2 linked regions of the Tribolium castaneum genome follow. The protein of the gene in region 1 purifies or fractionates together with the protein of each later gene. This does not show direct contact. Links are inferred from orthologs where the notes say so. Each region holds a gene or a part of one and is shown on either strand. Other genes may lie near its edges.

Evidence for each region.
Region 2: the proteins of Cpsf4 (region 1) and Sym purify together in Homo sapiens (affinity purification with mass spectrometry; 4 studies listed by BioGRID and IntAct, counting the BioPlex papers as one, with this or other methods). This does not show direct contact. The link is inferred for Tribolium castaneum from reciprocal best matches to the Homo sapiens genes CPSF4 and SYMPK.

The regions. Positions count from the first base shown.
Region 1 is NC_087394.1:10,089,722-10,092,840, reverse strand, and holds Cpsf4 (cleavage and polyadenylation specific factor 4, 30kDa), read left to right. Parts: upstream 1-1,437; 5' UTR 1,438-1,495; coding exon 1,496-1,598; intron 1,599-1,647; coding exon 1,648-2,387; 3' UTR 2,388-2,469; downstream 2,470-3,119. UniProt on the Homo sapiens protein: Component of the cleavage and polyadenylation specificity factor (CPSF) complex that play a key role in pre-mRNA 3'-end formation, recognizing the AAUAAA signal sequence and interacting with poly(A) polymerase and other factors to bring about cleavage and poly(A) addition.
Region 2 is NC_087398.1:8,155,994-8,160,369, reverse strand, and holds the start of Sym (symplekin), read right to left. Parts: upstream 2,956-4,376; 5' UTR 2,808-2,955; coding exon 2,769-2,807; intron 2,719-2,768; coding exon 2,522-2,718; intron 2,478-2,521; coding exon 2,088-2,477; intron 2,041-2,087; coding exon 1,754-2,040; intron 1,706-1,753; coding exon 1,245-1,705; intron 891-1,244; coding exon 1-890. Other genes in the region: GRIP and coiled-coil domain-containing protein 2-like, read left to right, coding at 3,129-4,376. UniProt on the Homo sapiens protein: Scaffold protein that functions as a component of a multimolecular complex involved in histone mRNA 3'-end processing. Specific component of the tight junction (TJ) plaque, but might not be an exclusively junctional component. May have a house-keeping rule.

The sequences.
Region 1 (3,119 bases):
TGTTCATCACTTTTGAATCACTCTGTGTAATAAGGAAGATATTTTTTTAGATTAAATTTCGCTAAAATGTCAACTTTTGATTAACTTTGTTGTTGTCGAAAGCAAATGATATAGCGGGATGTGGGTTTTGACCATAATTATTTTCTCGAATAACGAGCTTAAGAATGTGTTATTCGTTTTTTAAAGCCTTTTAGTTTTAACGATTTTTTATTTGAAAACCTAAAATGCACCTGTTCATCTTAGTAATAATAGTTGTTATTTTTTTATAATTGTCGTTATTCTCTATACATTAAACAATGTATTTTTATCAAAACAATCAATTTTCGGACCTTGTATACAACAAATGGCTCCTAGTGGTTTTTTATTTTTTAAATCATACTAACTGTTTCAAGACTATTGAAGTGCTAACGTCGCATTTTGTCTAAAAATTATTTGTTATGTTATTCATGCGCTTCAAAAAATTATTAGCTGATGTAATTTATTATTTCAACTATTTTACATTTTTGTAAACGTTATTTAGAAAAATAATTCGGTAAAGGGCGTCGTTGGCATTTTGAAACGCTAATTAGTCCATAATGAAATTTTAGGAAAACTGTTACACAAACTTGACAATAAGGCTTATTCCAAATCTGCGGCCTATTTTATAAAACTTTTTACAAGTGATTTACTTGTCACTTGTAAAAATCAACTTGTAGTTTTTATGAAACGGGCCCCTGGTGGCGAACTGACATTGCCAAAAATGACTGAATTTTAGCATTGAAGATAGATATGTTTAATTAAAAAAAAAATGCCCACAGGCGTCACAATAAAAAGATAAGAATATTGAACAATATAATAATAGTAATATTTCTATGTATCTTCGTCCTCAAAATTTATGTTAAAGTAAATAAGTAAATTTTAGAGAAAAAAATGCACCCCCTTTATTTCATTCTTTTAATGAAGTGGGTGCATTTCAAGAGTTTTTTTTTATATCACTGCCAGTTCGCCACCAGATATGGAACAACCTTTACCCAGAACAATGCAATTGTGGATTAAATTTGTTTTTTTTTTTGACAATTTAGTGGTCAACTGGAACCAGTATTATCCTAGTATTACTAGTTGCATCAAAAAATCTTCAGAAATAAGCCACAATTGACTCGCAATGTATATTTACACTTAATTTTGAGTTTCGCAAATAAATTTTTTTTGGTAATTTTTAGATAGGCAACACACTATACGGACTGCCTATCAACGGATCATCTAATTTTTTACTTTCCTTATTTAAAGCCGTTCCTTATTATATTATTGTATCGTTTTCCAGAGATTGGAACACGGTAAACTTGCTAAGTTTTTTTTTGAATTTGAAATTTTTTACACTAAACCAGAGCTGCCAATCTAGACCAACTGGTGGCAGGCTATGGTGGCAGGACTACATGTCAAATAGTTGATTTTGTTGTGGTTAAAATAAAAGGTGTTGCGTTTTCATTTTTTGTAATATTAAACTACAAATATCGAAATGGAGTGCATTGTGGCCAACGTGGACCACATAAAATTCGACATTGAAGTGGCTCTAGATGAGCAATTCGGCGCTTTGCCCTTACCATTTCCCGGAATGGACAGTAAGTGAGGTTATGTCGAAAATATAATTTTCTCGTTTTTTGCTTTCAGAATCAATTGCAGCCGTTTGTCAGTTTTACACTTCAATACAAGGCTGTCAAAAGGGCCCCCAATGTCCGTTTCGTCACGTGCGAGGCGACCGAACCATTGTGTGCAAACACTGGCTGAGAGGTCTTTGCAAGAAAGGCGACCAGTGCGAGTTTTTACACGAGTATGACATGACAAAAATGCCCGAGTGTTACTTCTATTCGAGATTTAACGCTTGTCACAATAAAGAGTGTCCGTTTTTACACATAGACCCTGAGAGTAAAATCAAGGATTGTCCTTGGTATGACCGTGGGTTTTGTCGACATGGGCCCCACTGTCGTCACAGACACGTGCGCAGGGTTTTGTGTACGAATTACTTGGCAGGCTTTTGCCCCGAAGGGCCAAACTGCAAGTATATGCACCCAAGGTTTGAGTTGCCTGCGCCCCCTGATCAGGTGCAGAAGGACAAGAAAGCCACTCCTGTTATTATTTGTCACTTTTGTAACGAACATGGACACAAGGCGATACATTGTAATAAGATGAATAGTGATAACAGAGACGCCTTAAATGACGAGAATCGAAAACAGAATGATCATTATGAGCCTCAGAACTCTTATTTGCAGAAAATGTTGCCTAAGAAGCTGGAAGATGTTACTTGTTACAAGTGTGGTACAAAGGGACACTACGCAAATCGGTGCCCTAAAGGGCACTTGGCGTTTTTGTCACAGGCCAAGAGCAATCAGGATGGACAAGGTGATCAATAAGAGTGGTGATCGTTTTTAAATAATATTTAAAGTTATTCAAACTATTGTATTTATTCTATAGGAAAATAAACAACAATTTTTACGAGTAGATTTATTTCGCCTTTTTCCAAAAATTAATCTAATTATTTTTCTTAGGTTACAGGCGTAGTTTTTTAGGTACATTATACCATTGTTTGTGAGGTGAGATAAAGCTGTTAGAGTTGTTCTCACAAGTGAGTAAATCTAGAGAAAATTGGAGAAAACAATGAGTCTGTTCATTTCATCACTACGAAAACTGATGCTAATGTTACAGGCGGATATTTACTTGAATTTTTTGGATTTTTTTCTAATGCACGTGTAAGATAAAACGTCGTATATCACACGTGATCGAAATACCGTTTTAAAGCTCGTGGGACACTCCCACTCGAGCACAAGCGCACTCGTGTGTCAAATTCTCACTTACATATAATGATCCATTTCTATCTCTTATAATATAATATACTATTATCTTACAGGAGCAGTTTTTTAGGTACATTATACCATTAAACTTGGTGAGAGAAATGAAATTTCTCTCATTGAACATTTTCTCGTCCTCAGAGTAGATTAACTGTCCTAAAGTTTTATTTAAAGCGTTATAAAACAAAAAAGGAGGCAACGGCACGCGGTGTTCCCAAGCGGTCACCCATCCAAGTACTAACCGCGCCCGACGCTGCTTAACTTCAGTGATCAGACGAGAACTGGTGTATTCAGCGT
Region 2 (4,376 bases), on another chromosome or scaffold:
AGCAGACGTAGAATAATCCGTTTAATGTTGGCCCCCGTCTGTACGTAAACCTTAGCCAAGTCATGAATAAGACTCTCATTGGCTGGCAATAGCGAAATATACGGAATAAGACAAGCTTTTATAAAATCATCGCCCCAAGTCTCGCTCTTCAACCTCCCTTGACTAAACCCACACAAACTCTCCGGCGGCCTTTGCAACTTCAAAAACTCCAAATTCATTCGTGCAAACTCCTCAATCACCAACCTCAACTCCACCTTCTTGTGCAACTCCAAAACGTGTCCAATGGCACACTCTCTTACCACGCTCAATTCGTACGTCGTGTACGAGAGGAGGGCGTTGAGGAACATCAACTGTTTGGGGGGCTTCCGGACCGTCAAATCGTGCAACAACCCCAAAGCTGCTGTGCATTTCTTCTCGTCTCGGCACAACTGGTGGAGCTTATCCAAAGCCTCGTCTGTTATTAAAGGCGCTTCCAAAAACAATCGACAGAGCACTGCTGAGTCGTGCATACAAGCGTTTATAAATGTGCAAAGCAAGATGTTGTAGCTTTTGTCCAGTTTGGTGTCTTTGCGTAAAGGGGGCACTCTTGAGAAGCCCTGCAGTATTCCGTACTCTTCAAAAAGCCACGCCAGGGCCAGGTCTATGTGAGACCGTAAGTCTGATAGGAGAAACGCCAACACTGTTTGTCTGACAGTGGGGCTAAAGCAGGCTGCGATTGTGGTGATTAGTTTTTGGTACAAGCATTTTGCGGCTGTTTTGTCCGCGGTTAAAAGTCGGTTTATGGACCCTATTAACAATTTCTCCTTTGTTTCTTTCTCGATAGGTTTGGTGATTTCGGACAGTTTCAGTGTCTTGATTCGGGGAACTTTTGCTCGTTCCTTCTTCAGGAGCTACCAAATGTGTAAAACATGTTGTAAAACAAATAGAGGCTTCATTATATTTTTTTTTAAGAATAATTACTAAAATTTCTTTGACCTCACAATTACGATAAGTTATCAAAACATAACTTAAAAAAAATACAGGATGCGTGATACATAACTTCTCAAATCATCCGAACCAACATAAGCTAACAGATAAAGATAAATACATAAATAAATAAATAAATAAATAGACAAATATTTGGTACAATGAATTACATCTTATCTTTTCTTAAATACAGCTGAAAATGTGAAATCTGAATTGCAAATTACTGTTTCTGTTTTACTTATTATTATATTATTTGTGTGCAAAAATTGTTTTCTTACCTTTTCCTTCTCTTCCTTGTCCTCTTCCTCCTTCTCCTGCTGTCTAAATTCCTCGACCTTTTTTGCAAAACTTTTCGAAGACGGCGAAACCCCGGCCTCAGTCAAATACGTGGCAATAAGTTTTGTCAAAACATCAAATTGGCCAACTTTTCCACTATCGACATATTTGCCATACTCTTTCGCAAAATCGGGAGACATTGTAGCCGGCAGTTTACTCATAGAAGCGAAAACCATTTGAACCGCTCTTTCCAACGTGAAATTTTCAGACACAAAGTTCTCATTCAACTCTTGCAGTGTTTGCGAATCACTGTCATTGGTGTCGTTATCGAATTCAATTTGAGGATCAAGTCTAGGTCTTTTATTGTAGATCTGAAGGGACTCAACTGAGAGAGTCCTCTTGCAATATTTCCGCCGCTCGTCGGGTTTCGGTACCATTTTAAGAATGTCTTGCTGGGAATAACCTGAGAAAAAAATCCTAAAAAATTTTTTTGCGTAAAAATAAAACGCACCTAAATCGGTGAGCATTGGGGTTAATTTCTCCACAAATTCGTAAGCCGCTGGGTGTTTGATAAGTCCAGCGAGTTCGGATTTTAATTTTTTACGCACGGAATTCACTTGAGTTGTTGTTAGAGTTGGAGGTAGGTTATTGTAAAGTGATTCAATAGCTGAGACAACTCGAGACATAAATTCGGCCCGATTTTTTGCAATGTTTGTAACAACGCCCAGGCAGGTTAACAAGTTGGCACTGCTAATATGGGGAGAGCCAAAAAATTTTAAAAGTAACTCAAACAAGGTACTAAAAAATTCAATTAGAAATTTGCGAATTTAAAAAAAAATAAATACTTTGCTTCCTCTTCTAGTTTTCGCCTCCGCGCCAATTTTAACGTCAGAGGAACATCATCGAGTGAGAAGTCGTTCGGTTTCTTGTTCTCTTCCTGGTCGGGATAAGTTTGCAACAACACAACACATTCTAAAAATTTCACTGAACTAGTCCTAATGCCGTCATTGTCACTATCAATCATATTTGCAATTTCTAATTTTATGGCAGACAATTGCTTCCAGGCGTTTTCCATTTCTTCTGTAATTACAGAAGCCTTGCATAACCAGGCCAACGTTTTGCGATAAATACTGATTAAAGCTTGAATTACGCGCTTTTGCACCGCTATTGACTCATCACATAGTAGCATATGAAGGTTTAGCATTACTTTAGGTAAAAGAGACTCGCGCATTTTGCTAAAACAAAAGTTAAGTAACCAATTAAAATGCATAAAACCTACCATAACTCTTCAATAAAACCCACTAGCGCTTTTTTCACGTCCCCATTCCTATCAGTCGTGAAATTAAGCATGTTTTGTAAAAACTTTGGCAGCAAATGGGGCGACTTCCGAATCAAAACTTCTTGCAATTTGTGGAAGTATTCAAGCTTTTCTGCAGCAGAGCGGGACACTGCAGCGCTATTTATCCATTGGGTCACCTAAAACGCGTCTCTTTACTACCGAAATCAACTAAATCTCGGTTTTTTACTAAATCCTCGTCGGAAACTTCGTTCATGGTAAAATCCATGTCGAGAGGATTTTACAACCAAAAATGACGCAATTGTTGCCACTAAAGCAACGAAATTTCGAAAACAAAGCTAGTTTTATCTAAAGCGTTAAATTAATTGAAAATGAGAGCCAATCATCCATTTTTGGAAAGCCAAAGATTGAGGTTATGGCAGAAGTGACGTGAACATGTTACCAAAAAACAGTAACTTTTCCGCTTTTTGTTGGCGACTTTTGCTGTCAAAATACTATTGATGTGTCAAAATAATAAAAAATTATTAAAATACAATGTAATTGCTAATTACTTGGAAATTACAATACAATAGATTAAGTAACTATCGAGATGGAATCGAATACGCCATCCGAAAGTGGCAAGAAAATCGTTTTGGAGAATTTATCGAAAGAGGAATTGGTTAAACGGTGCGAACGGCTTTTGATTCTCGCCCAGAAGGCCAAACAGGCGAAGGACGCGCTCCAGGAGGAAAATAACGAGCTGAAAAATAGGCTAAAATCGGAATCTGGAGATGCCACAACTGCAATTATCGAAAATTTGACCCAACAGAAGTTGCAGTTTGTTACCACGATTGAAGACTTGAAGAGCCAAAATGCCGCTTTGGTGAATAAAGTGCAAAACTGCACGCAAGACGCACGTCTGTGTGAGGAGAAGGATAGGCTTGAAAGCGAGAATATTTCGTATAAAAGGCAAATCAAGCGTTTGACGGATGAAAATGAGCAGCTGATTACGCATCTGGAGTCTCTGGAAAAGCAACTCGAAGAGTGCAAAAACCTGGGACTTGAACAGCAAAATCAGCTGCTGATGTTGGAAGAGGCGAATCAAAAGTTACGGAGTGATGACACAAGTGATAAGTCTGCAGAGTTGCAGAAGATGCTTAGTATTAGTTTAGAGGAAGTTAAGAAGTTGCAAGCTGAGAATAACACAATGAGGGAGAAAATTGACGTGCTCAAGACGAATCTGGGGGAGAAGGATAAGAACATTTTAACGATAGGCCAAGAGTTGCAGGAAAAATTGAAATTGGTCGAGGATTTAGAAAAAATCAAAAATGAAACAAGAGAAAATGTGGAGTTGGTTGAGAAACTTAAAGGGAGACTGAAATTTTATCACTCAAAAGTTGTAAAACTGGCCGGTAATGTGAAGGTTTTGAAGGAAAATAAAAACGAGGTTTTGCGTTTGCTCAAAACGTACTCACATCAAGTGGAAGAATGGAAAGAACAGTTGGGTGTAGCTTCAAAAAAGTTGTGCCAAGAAATTAGTGATATCAAAGTACAGAACTCTGAATATCACAAGGAAATTGAAGGTTTGAAAGAAAGTAATGCAAAATATCTGAAACAACTTGAGGCACATAAAACCGACGACGAGAAAAGTAAAGAACTTGGCGAGTTTGAGAGAATTTCCAAAGAACATAAGAAATTGATTGAAGAAAATCAAAGATTGTTACAACTTCAACTTGACTACCAGCAAACTGTTGAAACGCTCACTGTTGAAAAGGAGAGTCTGCTTGAGAATTTGTCTCAATTGGAGGAAAGACATCAGGAAGAAATCAAAGTTTTTGACGACCAAAGCAAGAAAGAC